Linked DNA regions of Oryctolagus cuniculus. The protein of the gene in region 2 interacts with the protein of the main gene of each other region in a pairwise test. Links are inferred from orthologs where the notes say so. Each region holds a gene or a part of one and is shown on either strand. Other genes may lie near its edges. The genes, in order: EIF5 and DUSP12.

Evidence for each region.
Region 1: the proteins of DUSP12 (region 2) and EIF5 interact in binary tests that used the Homo sapiens proteins (3 or more experiments, as listed by UniProt). The two-hybrid records come from large-scale screens. The link is inferred for Oryctolagus cuniculus from reciprocal best matches to the Homo sapiens genes DUSP12 and EIF5.

The regions. Positions count from the first base shown.
Region 1 is NC_091451.1:46,203,704-46,209,972, reverse strand, and holds the start of EIF5 (eukaryotic translation initiation factor 5), read right to left. Parts: upstream 3,903-6,269; 5' UTR 3,764-3,902; intron 3,640-3,763; 5' UTR 3,429-3,639; intron 2,802-3,428; 5' UTR 2,594-2,801; coding exon 2,522-2,593; intron 2,439-2,521; coding exon 2,357-2,438; intron 1,812-2,356; coding exon 1,639-1,811; intron 1,447-1,638; coding exon 1,335-1,446; intron 736-1,334; exon of another isoform or gene 610-735; intron 68-609; coding exon 1-67.
Region 2 is NC_091438.1:37,036,488-37,042,656, reverse strand, and holds part of DUSP12 (dual specificity protein phosphatase 12), read left to right. Parts: intron 1-2; coding exon 3-183; intron 184-3,225; coding exon 3,226-3,387; 3' UTR 3,388-6,169. UniProt on the Homo sapiens protein: Dual specificity phosphatase; can dephosphorylate both phosphotyrosine and phosphoserine or phosphothreonine residues. Can dephosphorylate glucokinase (in vitro).

The DNA.
Region 1 (6,269 bases), on a different chromosome or scaffold from region 2:
TCCTTGTCTTTGCCCTTCCTGTTCTTCTTTTCCTTTTCTTTCTTCCCTGTAGCACTGTCACTATTCTCTACATGGAAACAGAATGAAATACAAGTTTAATCTCATAGCGAACATCTCAGTGCCCACCGTCCTGTCTGTCTGCTATGGATCACCCTCAGAAAACCAAACAAAACGCTTATAATTCTAGATTAGAGCCAGTGATATGGTGCAGCTGGTTAAAATGCTGCCTGTAATACAAGCATCTCACATGGGCGCCTTCCAATCCAACTCCCTGCTAATGCACCTAGGAAAGAAGTGGAAGATGGCCCAAAGCCTCTACACCCAGGCAGGACACAGTCCTGGCCACTGCGGCCACCTGTGGAGTGAACCACCAGAAGAGGATGTCTTTCCCTCTCAAACAAATCTTGAAAAATTCTATAGATCATACTTATCCCACTGTGTTTCAAAGCTGAGAAATTCAGTCTGAGAATGGAAAATCCTGGGAATCAATTGTTGGATGAGAATAGACATGAAGTGATGATGTCTCAAATGCCCAAGAAGTTCAACATAGGCCTTGTGACCTTGAACAAGGCTTCTATCTCAAACCAGCCTTCTCCAACACAGTTGAACACTGTTTAAGTCTATATAACGGCTTGTCTCACAGGAAAGAGAACACCGGAATAGGTTAGACTTCCTTGCTATAGCAAGCTCAAATTGTGTCAGACAGTTTTGACAGTCTGCCACAGAGTGTTGCTTGCAGTTTAAAGACCCTTAAATCTTAAGACAAGCTCTCCGTTTACCAAACAACACTAATCTTAAGTGTCTCATTCACCTTAAGATGGCCCATCTCAAAAGTTGATGGTATGGTGGAAAAATCTACTGTATTCAACTTTAATGGCACAAAAAAAAAAAAATAGTAGACTTTTCAAACATTTACATGTAATGCAACGTGGTGTTCCCATATTCCTTTTGCAACAGAAAATCTCCCACTTTGTTTCCAAGAAATTTTGTTAAAATCTTATTAGTGGGGCTAGTGCTGTGGCACAGCGGGTAAAGCCACCGCCTACAGTGCCAGCATCCCATATGGGCGCCAGTTCAAGACCTGGCTGCTTCACTTCCCATCCAGCTCTCTGCTATGGCCTGGGAAAGCTGTAGAAGATGGCCCAAGTCCTTGGGCCCCTGCACCTGAGTGGCAGACCTAGAAGCAGCTCCCGGCTTCGGATCAGCGACGGCCAACTGGGGAGTGAACCAGCAGATGGAAGAGCTCTCTCTGCCTCTCCTTCTATGTAACTGACTTTCAGATAAATAAATAAATTTAAAAAAAAAAATCTTATTAGTTTAGTATGAAGCCTTACCAGGTGGGTTTTTGAGAATGAACGTGCAGAGTTTATGATGTGTGTCAAGCATGCCTCGATAGCCACAGGCTTTACAAGAATTGCCTATTGTTTGCTTCTTCGGATTGACATGCTGGAAAAGGAAAAAAAACCATCATAAGAAATGAGAGACGGCGACCTACTTAAAAAAAATTGTAGGTGCGTTGTTTTCTAACAGCAAAGTGTGCCTTGCCTTCCCAGGAAAGGCAGTGCTACCACAGGATTGCTCAGAGGCAGGCAGATGGTTTTGTCTGTTCCAAACAAAAACCCTGCTGCATTCACTCACCAGATCTGTTTCAGGATTCTCACACTCAGGACAGAGAACAAATTTTTTAATGAATCCATCCAACATGTCTTGCAGCTTATTCGCCTCATGAGATCCATTGACAATGTAACGGTCATTCTTAACATCAAACTGGGTCTGTGCTCCCAGCTCACAACCAAAATATTTGGTGGGATCTATTTGGAGAAAAACAATTAGATTTGCCTCATTACAGTTAACTAAATGTCTGGCTGCTTGTTCATATCTTACACAAAAATCACTGTTTTTAAGTTGTTGGGCACAGAGCTAGTGGTGTAGGTAAAGCTGCCACCTGCAGTGCCAGCATTCCATATGGACGCCTGTTTGAGTTCCAGCTGATCCAGCTCTCTGCTATGGCATGGGAAAGCAATGTAAGGTGGCCCCTTGCACCCAACTGGGAGACAAGAAGCTCCTGATCAGCTCAGCTCCAGCTGTTGTGACCATTTGGGGAGTGAACCAGCAGATGGACAGCCCCTCTCTCTGCCTCTCAAATCTTTAAAACAAAAAAAATCGTGCTAAATCTAATGTGCTGCCCAGGTAATTTTGTGAACTTAAGACAACTATTACATTTGTTAGAGGTTCCACTCCTTACCCTTTCAACTAATTAGCAAAGAATTCGTAAATGTTTTTCAGCTTAAAGAGGATCAAGACAATATATATTCGTCATATACCTTTTCAGACTTCTCCAAGAAGCTTTACTTACACGTTGGAGGCCGATTAAGCGCCTTTGCAACGTCAACCATGTTGACTATAACTGTCTTGATTCCATTTCCTTTGCCCTCAACCTAAAGAGAACACGAACTTTATTTTTGCATTTAATCTACTTAAACATCTACAGTCTTCCTACAAAATCGAAGATCAGCATTACCTTGGCAATCAGACGGGGCATCTTGTAGCGATAGAACTGGTCTGACACGCTGCGGTTGACGTTGACAGACATTTTGGCTTATTAGTGGCTTTATCAATAAGATGAAGAGATCTTTGATTGCAACTTTTTGGTATCTTCTGTCTGGAGAAGAAGGGATGACATAAACGACTGCAAGAGTTCTCGGTCTCTGACATGAAAAAATTTTCGCCACTGAGGCTGCAAGCTTCTTGCTTGTATGCTATGTGTCCCCAATACAGGTACCAATGGCTGCGCAACAGCTCTGCAAGAGAAGCAAAGAACACACCCGATCCCCGCAGGTGTAACGTCACTCCCGCACCGACGGGCTGCCCGCGCCACACACAGCCCCGGACCCGGCGGGGCGCCTCCGACTCCCCGACCCCGCACGCCGCCGGCGACAGACGGGGCCTCCGCGCTGGCGACGCCGCGGCCCGGGCCCGGGAACGCCGGCCGCCGCCCGCGGAAGCCCGCCCCGCCCCCACCCGCCGGGGCGGCCAGCCCTGCCCCCCGAGCCGCAGTCCGGGGCCGAGCGGAGCGTTGGCGCCGCGGCGCCGGCTTACTCCAGCGTCCGGCCGCGGGCGCGAGGGCCCGCCCGGCCCCGCGCGCCTGACCTTCGGCCCCGCGCCCTCCGAGGCGCTCAGGGGCGCCGGGCCCATCCCGGGCCCGCCGCGGCGCCGGGGCCGCCGGCCACCCCCGCCGCGGGCGCGGTGACTCACAGATGCGGCAGCGCGCGCTCCCGCCGGCAGGGCAGAGGCCGCGCCGGCTGCGGGCCGCGGGCCGCCCGCCCCCCAAACTGCGCCACACGCCGCGGCGGGTCACGCGGCGGCGCCGCCATCTTGTGCGGCCGCCATCTCCCGTCCGCCCGCCCGCCCGCCCGCCCGCGACTCACCGTTTTCGTCAAATAAAGACATAAACCCAACGCTGCTCGCCCGGGACTGGGATGAAGTGAGGCGCGTCTCAACCCGAGTCCGAGTCCGGGGCGGCGGAGGCGGCGGAGCGGAGCGCAGCGCAGCGCGGGGAGCGGCCGGGCCAGGTGCCGCCGCCGAGCAGCGGGAGGGGCTGTCCCAGACGTCCGCGGTCGGGCAGCGCGGAGCGGCGACCTGGCGCGGAGAGACGGCGCCGTGAGCCGCGGCCGGGCGGGCGCGCCTGCCCCGCCAGCCAGCGGCCCGCGGGGTCGGGGGGCGGGGAGGGGGCGCGGGGCCGCCGCCCCTCCAGCGGACTCACCTCTGGAATGTTCTCGCTCTGACTGAACAACGCCGCCGCCGCGCTCAAGCTACCTTCGGCCCCAGCGCCCGCCCCTCGCGCTAGGCCGCACTACCGATTGGCCGGAGGCCCGCCCGAGCTCGCTTTTGATTGGCCTGCACGCCGCGTCAATCGCGCCCTCTCCCCGCCCCCTCTTCCTGAGGGTCCTGTCGCCGCTTCAGCCCGCCTCCAGCCGGGGTCCCGGCTTCCTTCCTCTCCCCTCCCCCCGCTTTTCCCAGTGGCCTTCGCGGCGCAGGCGCCAGATCTCGCGAGAGAGGGAGCGGCCGCCGCGGCGGAGCTTCGTCTAGTGGTTACGGCACTCTGGGAAAGATGGCGGTTGGTTCCCCTCCCCCGTCTGCCTGAGGCTGGGCCTGGGCCTGGCTCGGGCCTGCAGCGCTCCGGGCCGCTCCTCGCGGCGGCGCGCTCGACTAGGGGCCGGGCACTCGCCCGCCGGCCCCTGCCCGGCTCCTGGATCGCGAGTGCTGCCTTTTATCCGCCTCTTTGGGCCGAGTGGCCTCGGGGGACCCTGGCCCTTGGATGGGGCAGGCCAGGGACTTCGTCGCGCCGAGCCTGGCCGCTCCCCTCCCACACCGTGGCTCCCCGGTTTCAGAAGTGGAAACCTCGGACTCGCTCGTAGCGGGGCCTCCTGGCAGCGCCCCGCCTCGGCGCAGTGTCCGCTGCGCTGCCCCAGGCTTGGAGAGCCCCGACCCTCGCTGCCCCTCTGCCGCTTTGCCCCGAGTGACCGCCCGTCGCATGGGGCCCCGGGGTGACCAGGGCGGCTGTGGCGACAGGGCTCGCGTCTTGTTCTGCCGCAGCTTCCCTGTGCTTCCAGGAACTCGGGCTTCTGCGTCCGAGTCTGAGCTGGACTCGGACTGCTGGCTGCTTCCTGGCCGGGCTCCCCGGGTCCGCACCTGGAGTGGACAGCGTGGGTGTTAACCCGTGCAGTTTGCAAGCTTAGAGGCTTTTTTTTTTTTTTTACATCAAAGTGCAGGGTTACTCTTTTTTTTTTTAATTTATTTTTTTTTATTTAATGAGCATAAATTTCCGAAGTACAGCTTATGGATTACAATAGCTCCCCCCCCCCCCCCCCGTAACTTCCCTGCCACCCACAACGCTCCCCTCTCCCACTCCCTCTCCCCTTCCAGTGCAGGGTTACTCTTCCTGGTGTTGTGGGCTCTGTAAGCCGTTCGGCCCGCCTAGTGCGGGTTAGGGAGTAACTCGGCCGTGCTGGGCAGGGTCGCGGCGGCGCGTGACTGCAGGGTTGAGGCCGGTTGGCTCTGCGTGGCTGCCCACGCGTGACGTTATTTTAGAAACTCCTGGAAAGGAAGGGCGCGCAGCTCTCCTGGGGTAAGAGGCTTTGTCCTCAGGAAAGTTTTAAATAAATACAAGGCGCCTTTTTTCCCTTGCCCAGTTTGTAATAGTTTGAGCTCATTTTAAGTTCTGGTGTGTGGCACTCACAGCCACGTTGTGAGGCTCTCCCCGCGCCCTCGCAGCCGAGTGCTCTGGCGGCGCTATCTTACTCACTGCTAGACCCCAGGACAACGTTTATTCCCATTCTGCAAATGTGCGAACAGGCCTAGTGGAAAAATTTAAGCAACTTGCCCAAAGTCATACGAGGGTATTTAAACAGTAAGTCATGGAAAATTTTGACTGACACGTCTGGTGAAAATAAAATGTAGAAACCATGCATAGTTATTTTTGTAGTATGCATTTTCCATGAAATTTTTGAAGACCCCTTGTGTGCCTGGATTGCAGGCTTTTTTGTGACAAAACAACCTTTTAATTTCATTTTCTCACAAGCTGGACTCCCTCACAGACCCAGTGAAGGTCAGAGCTAGGATTTAGGCCCAGAGCTGCGGGGTCCCAAAGCCATCGCCTTGAACAGCAGGGGCGCAGCCCGCAGGCCCACGTGAACGCCGGCAGGCCTGTGCGGGGAGGCAGACCTGCGTGAACACCGGCAGGCCTGTGCGGGGCGTCCTCACGCTCATTTTACGGGCGAGGAGACTCGGGAAGGGGAGGCGGTGTTCCCGAAGTCGCCTGTCACTGTTTGAACTCCGGCTTGTGTGACGCCAGGCCTGTTGCACAATTCCGCCTCCCATGTCTGGGCCTGTGCCCATTTGGCTGTGTCACGTCCTCCAGTCAGGTGCTCACCGTCCACTAAAGGATGCACGGGCACCAGGTGCGCCTGGATGCCTGTTGGACGAGTGTGGCGCGTGGCCTGAATGGCAGACGTGAGAGGCAGGCAGCTCTCTGGTTGTTGAGACGTTGTCTTGCCGTGCACGAGCCCCTCACTGCACAGGATCAGCCCCACGCGGACTTCGGGAGACCACCTGTCCAGTACCTTAGTGCCCACGGTGACGGGGCCTGTGGCCCGGCTCCCCCGGTCTGCACCTCGTGAAGGGCAATCAAAAGCAGTCGTCGGCTGCTCCCCTGGCCTCCTGTGACACCTCTCTCCCAGCTTTCAGTTTTTCAGAAGTTTCTTTAGGGA
Region 2 (6,169 bases):
AGGCGATCCTTATTTCGAAGTTCAAGTATTTTGGGTCACAGTGAAGGAAGTGGACCTATAGCTTTTGCCCACAAGAGAATGGCACCATCATTCATGCTTGCCACAGGGACTCAGTGTACATCTTATTTCATTGAACCTGTACAGTGGATGGAATCTGCTTTGTTGGGAGTGATGGATGGGCAGGTCAGAATACATTTCTTATTTTTTCTACAATTTCATTGTACAATCTGTATTTTCTTCCTTTTTGTATTTTAACTAGTGTTTTATTCCATCTTAATCCCTTTCTTTTATGAAGATTATATTTTTCTAGTGTGGATCAGACTGTCAAAAATAAATATTTTTAAAGATCAGCTGATTTTAAATGGTAGTTGAGAGTTGCTACTCTAAGTTAATAAGTTTCTTTTAAGTCTATTTATATTTTTCAAATATAAAACAAATATTACTTTAAAACAAATTAATATCTTATAAAATTTGAACTTTGTAACAAGTAGGTTACCTCAGGAATTTTTAAATTTGGTTTAAAATGTCTTCCCTTTCTTTTTCTTTCTTAATTCCATGCATTTCTCTCTTTTTCTGATCTTTCAATTTAGTATGTTTGTTACGAGATTCTTTTTCATTTCCTGTCCAAGAATACAACTCATAACATCCTGTGACAGCCACTTTTTTCTTTAGGTTTAAGTTTTTGATATTAATATGCAGGCATTCTATAGAAATAATTTTAATAGTGATTTTAAAAGTTTGTAGAAAAGTTTTTATAATGGATATTTATTGAAACTCTTATTCCATGTCATTGGAATAAAATGGCTTTATAAAGGTGGTAGAACAGATACAGTCATACTTTATATGTGGGGAAACTTCATTTATTTACTGAGTATTTTACTTAAAAACAGTATCCTATATTCAAATGCACATTTTCAGATTTTGTTACTTTTTAAAAAAACAGCTTTGTTAAAGTATAACTCACATACCATACAGTTCACCAATTTAGAATAATGAATTCAACAGCTTTTAGTATATTCACAGTTTTTTGCAACTGTCGCTATTCTCATGACCCTTAAAATGATATATCCATTAGCGTTCATTTCCCATTCTTGATGATCGTATTTACAGTGATTGTTTCAGATTTTGGTGAACTGTAATATTGCTCTTTGGTGACTTATGCTTTTGGCTTGCTGCTTTCATTTAACCTGGAAAATATACAAACACATGATATTTTTGTGAAAGATTCTAAACCCTATTTGTGCGTATTTCTTTGTATACATATTTGAGTTTTCTTATATGGTATACACTTAGAAGTAAATTGTTGGCTTTATGACTGTATACATTTTAAATATTAATCATATTCCAGGCTGACATTCAAAATGCTCATACAAATTTAGTTTTCACCAACAGTGAATATCTACCCATTTCCTCATACCCTGGGCAAGTTATATATAAAACTGGTGAAGTTTTGTCAGTCTGTATCATGAAAATATTAATCTTACGTTTTTCATGACTACAGCCGAGGATGACATCTTTGCATTTACCAGCCATCTATAGTTGCTTTTTATTTATTTATTTATTCGAAAGTCAGAGTTACACAGAGAGAGGAGAGGCAGAGAGAGTGAGAGAGAGAGAAAGAGTGGTCTTCTATCTGATGGTTCACTCCCCAGATGGCCGCAATGGCCGGAACTGCACCTATCCGAAGCCAGGAGCCAGGAGCTTCTTCCTGGTCTCCCACTCGGGCACAGGGGCCCAAGGACTTGGGCCATCTTCCACTGCTTTCCCAGGCCACAGAGCTGCATCAGAAGAGGAATAGCTGGGACTAGAATTGATGCCCATATGGGATGCCGGGGCTCCAGGCCAGGGCGTTAACCCGCTCAGCCACAGCGCCGATCCCCCCCCGCCCCATCTATAGTTTCTTGTTGTGTAAACTGCTTTACCATCCCTGGCCTATTTTCTATGAATTTTCTTACTCTTACTGATTTGTAGGAGCTGTGTATATATTCTAGATGTAGATGCTTCATTTAATAAATAGAATTATTTTCCCTAGTCTATTACTTATCTCAAATTTTTGGTATATTTTGTAATAAAATTTAAGATACTGTGTAGTCTATTTTTTCATTTGTGGTTTCTGGGCTTTAAATCTGGACTTCCTGTAGTTTAATATTAAAAGCAAAAATTCCTACTTCCTACCATGTACAAATTATAGAACTAAACCTAAAAAATGTGATAACTGCACTGAAAGAAAATACAGTTTACTAAAGCTTTGATTTATCTGTTTTACTGGAATATCAGTTGATTGTTTTTAAGTCACTAGGAATCTGACTTACATGCTATCATTATCAGTAATAAAACATGAGAATCCTAATAATCTTTTCCATTCTTTATTCATGTTGTAGTTTTTTTTTTTTTGAGATTTTATTTATTTATTTGAGATGTAGAGTTACTGACGGAGAGGGAGAGATAGAGAGAAAGGTCTTCCATCTGCTGGTTCATTCCCCAAATAGCCACAGCAATCGGAGCTGGGCTGATCAAAAGCCAGGAGCTTCTTCCAGATCTCCCATGCAGGTGCAGGGGCCTGAGTACTTGGGCCATCTTCTATTGCTTTCCCAGACCATAGCAGAAAGCTGGATTGGAAGAGGAGCAGCTGGAACTAGAACCAAAAGAGAGAGATCTTTCATCCATTTGTCTACTCCCCAAATACCTGCAACAGCTAGGGCTGGGCCAAGACCCCAGAATCCAATTTGGATCTCCCACATGAGTGGCAGGGACCCAATTACTTGAGCCATCACCTGCCTTCTAGGGTACCCATAACAGGAAGCTGGAATTGGAAGCAGAGGTGGCACTCAAAACAGGCACTCTGATGAGATGTGGCTGTTCTAAGTGATGTCTTAACCACTGTGTCAGGTGCCTGCCCCTACACGTTGATTTAAAAACCTAGTATGTATGCCACATTCTTGAAGCCATCCTTGAGTTTCAAATGTCACCTTTCTCCCCTAAAGCTGGGATCCATCTGTTCTTCCTCTAAGCTGCCCGAGTACAACATACTTCTTAGGCAGTAATTGTAGTCCACCATCTATAATACAGCAAATTCCTCATGTATTTAATGTCACCAATTAGAGTACAAACTCCTTGAAGATAGGGGCCATGTTTGCCTGTGCTTATATCCTATATTGCCAAAGAAAATTATTTGTTTTGTATAAAAGTGAATAAATGAAGTAATACATTGGCTTTTTATTTCAGCTGCTTTGTCCAAAATGCAGTGCCAAATTGGGTTCCTTCAATTGGTATGGTGAACAGTGCTCATGTGGAAGATGGATAACACCTGCTTTCCAAATACATAAGAACAGAGTGGATGAAAAGAAAATGCTGCCAGTTTTGGGATCACAAACAAGAAAAATATGAACTTGTGACATCTGCTATCTTGGAAGGAACCTTGCTGAAGATACATGCTGCCCCGGCTTTCAGTTACTCACTGCAGGTTGTCTAGTTTGTAGGCCATCAACATTTCAATTGCAGTGTGAAAGGGAAAAATCCCATGAAGTAACCTAGAAACTGCCCTGTTATTAGGTTATTACGTGATGTAAGTAGAATACATAGCAATCAAAGTTTTTTAGTCATATAAATTTTATATGATAGTAAAATCTTTTATGATACTAACACTTCATTTGTTTCATGTTTTTAAAAGTCATGATTTATTTATTTAATTTGAAAGGCAGACAGAGACAAAGATCTCCCATCTGTTGGTTTATTCTCCAGATGCTTGCAGTTTCTGGAACTGGGCCAAGCCTAATCCAAGAGCCAGAAACTCAATCCATGTCTCCCATATTAGTGGCAGAATCGTCACCTGCTGCTTTAGCCTACATTTGCAGGAAGATGGAATAGGAAGTGGAGCTAGAACTCAAACTGAGGCGCTCTGATACGGGATGGGGGAGGTCTCCTATGGCATCTTAACCACTATGCCAAATGCTGCCCTGAAACTTAATTCCAGTTTTCCATGAGTTTTTTGAAGTACCCTCGTATTTTGAAATTTTGCTTTCTCTCTTTTAAGGGAAATTAGTAAGCCTATTTATGTCTAGATTTTTCTTGTAAATGTAAAAGAAAGGCTATTAGTAAAACAGAATATGTTTTTCTTGTTCAGAAATTCCAATTATCTGCAGGTTTTTTTTTTTTTTTTCTTAAGTTTATTTATTTGAAAGGCAGAGTAAAACAGTGAAAGATAGAGATCTTCCATCTGCTGGTTCATGCTTCAAATGCCTATAGCAGCTGAGGCTGGGCCAGGATGAAGCAAGGTGCCTGAAACTCCATCTGGGTCTCCAGCATGGGTAGCAGGGACCCAAGGACTTGAACCAGCACGTGCTGTGCATGAGCAGGAAGCTGGAAGTAGAAGCATAGCCAGGACTCATCCAGGCATTGATACAGGATGGGTAGCTTAACCTACTGTGCCACCGTGCCCACTCCAATAAACATTTTATCTACATTTTTAGAAAAGTGTGTTTGAGATACCTCTTAAAGCAATCTACATAAAGAAATACTTTAATGTTAGATGTGTCTTAATAATCAAGATTAATGTGGAATTACATGTCAGTTACTCTTTTAGTCTAATACATTTGAGTATTGGAAAAAGTAATAAATCTAGATCAACTTTGTAACCTGATTTCTGGAAACTAGAATTGTACTCACTATTAATAGGGCAAATTGGACCTAATTTGGTATTTTGAACATATACATGAAATCAGAATTAGCTAATAAAGAGAAATATGTGTCTGTATTGTAAAAACTAAAATGGGAATAATTTTTCAATGTAAAATAAGGTGTAAATAATGAACTTCTTAGTATCTAGAATAGGGACTGGCCCTGTTGCATGGTGGGTAAAGCTGCCACCTGCAGGGCTGACATCCTGGCTGCTCTACTTCTGATCCAACTCCCTAATAATGCGCCTGGGAAAGCAGCAGAAGATGGCCCAGGGTCTTGGCCTCTTGCAACCACATGGGAGACCCAGATGAAGCTCTTGGCTCCTGGCTTTGGCCTGGCCCAGACCTGGCCATTGTGGCCATTTGGGGAGTGAATCAGTGAATGTAAGACCCCTCTCTCTGCCTCTGTTTCTCCCTCTCCTTCTCTGTTACTCTTTCAAATGAATAAATCTTTTTAAAAAAATCTAGCTTAATTTTTGACATGTGTTGTAATGTTATGGATGATCCTTGAGAAAAATTTTAAGACCTGAAGCCTTTATCAACTTTCATGGAGTAATTTTTCTTGTGAGAAAAGAATTCCCTCCATTTCTGTTTTAGCTTTTACACACTTTGTCTAGTTTTTTGCTTTATACTGTTCTCTGGAAAGCTTTTTACTAAACAGGTTATACCATATGAAACTGTCCCTTTTGTAGGAAAAAAGTAATGGAACAGCAGTTTCATGTGGCTCAAGTTAATGTCTATCCATCATATATTGTAGCATATAGTACCAAGAGAAATAGATTTGAATGTACAGTTGTCAGCAAATGTTTCCTGAGGATGTATTATGTGCACAGTTCTAGGTGATAAAATAAACAAACTGATGTTCTAGCTGGGAGAGACAGATAAAATACCTTTTTTGAAAGATAAGTGGTATTTATCAGTGCAGATCAATTTTGGGAAACCTAACTTCTCTATTTAAATTATACAGGTTTTTTTTTTTAAACTTATTTGACAGGTAGAGTTAGATAGTGTGAGAGAGACAGAAAACAACTTACAACTTTTTTTTTTTTTTTTACTTATGTGACAGGTAGAGTTAGACTGTGAGAGAGAGAGAGAAAACTACTTAACTTACAACTTTTTTTTTTTTTTTTTTTACATATTTGACAGGTAGAGTTACACGGTGAGAGAGAGAGTCAGAGAGAAAGGTCTTCCTTCCGTTGGTTCACCTCCCAAGTGGCCACTACGGTCCCCGCTGTGCCGATCCAAAGCCAGGAGCCAGGTGCTTCCTCCTGGTCTCCTATGCGGGTGCAGGCGCAGGCGCCCAAGCACTTGGGCCATCCTCCACTGCCTTCCCGGGCCACAGAAGAGAACTAGACTGGAAGAGGAGCAACCAGGACTAGAACCCAGCACCCATATGGGATGCCGGTGCTGCAGGCAGAGGATTAACCAAGTGAGCCACGGTACTGGCCCTAAATTATGCAGTTTTATGAAACATTCACTGATCAGAAATTGCA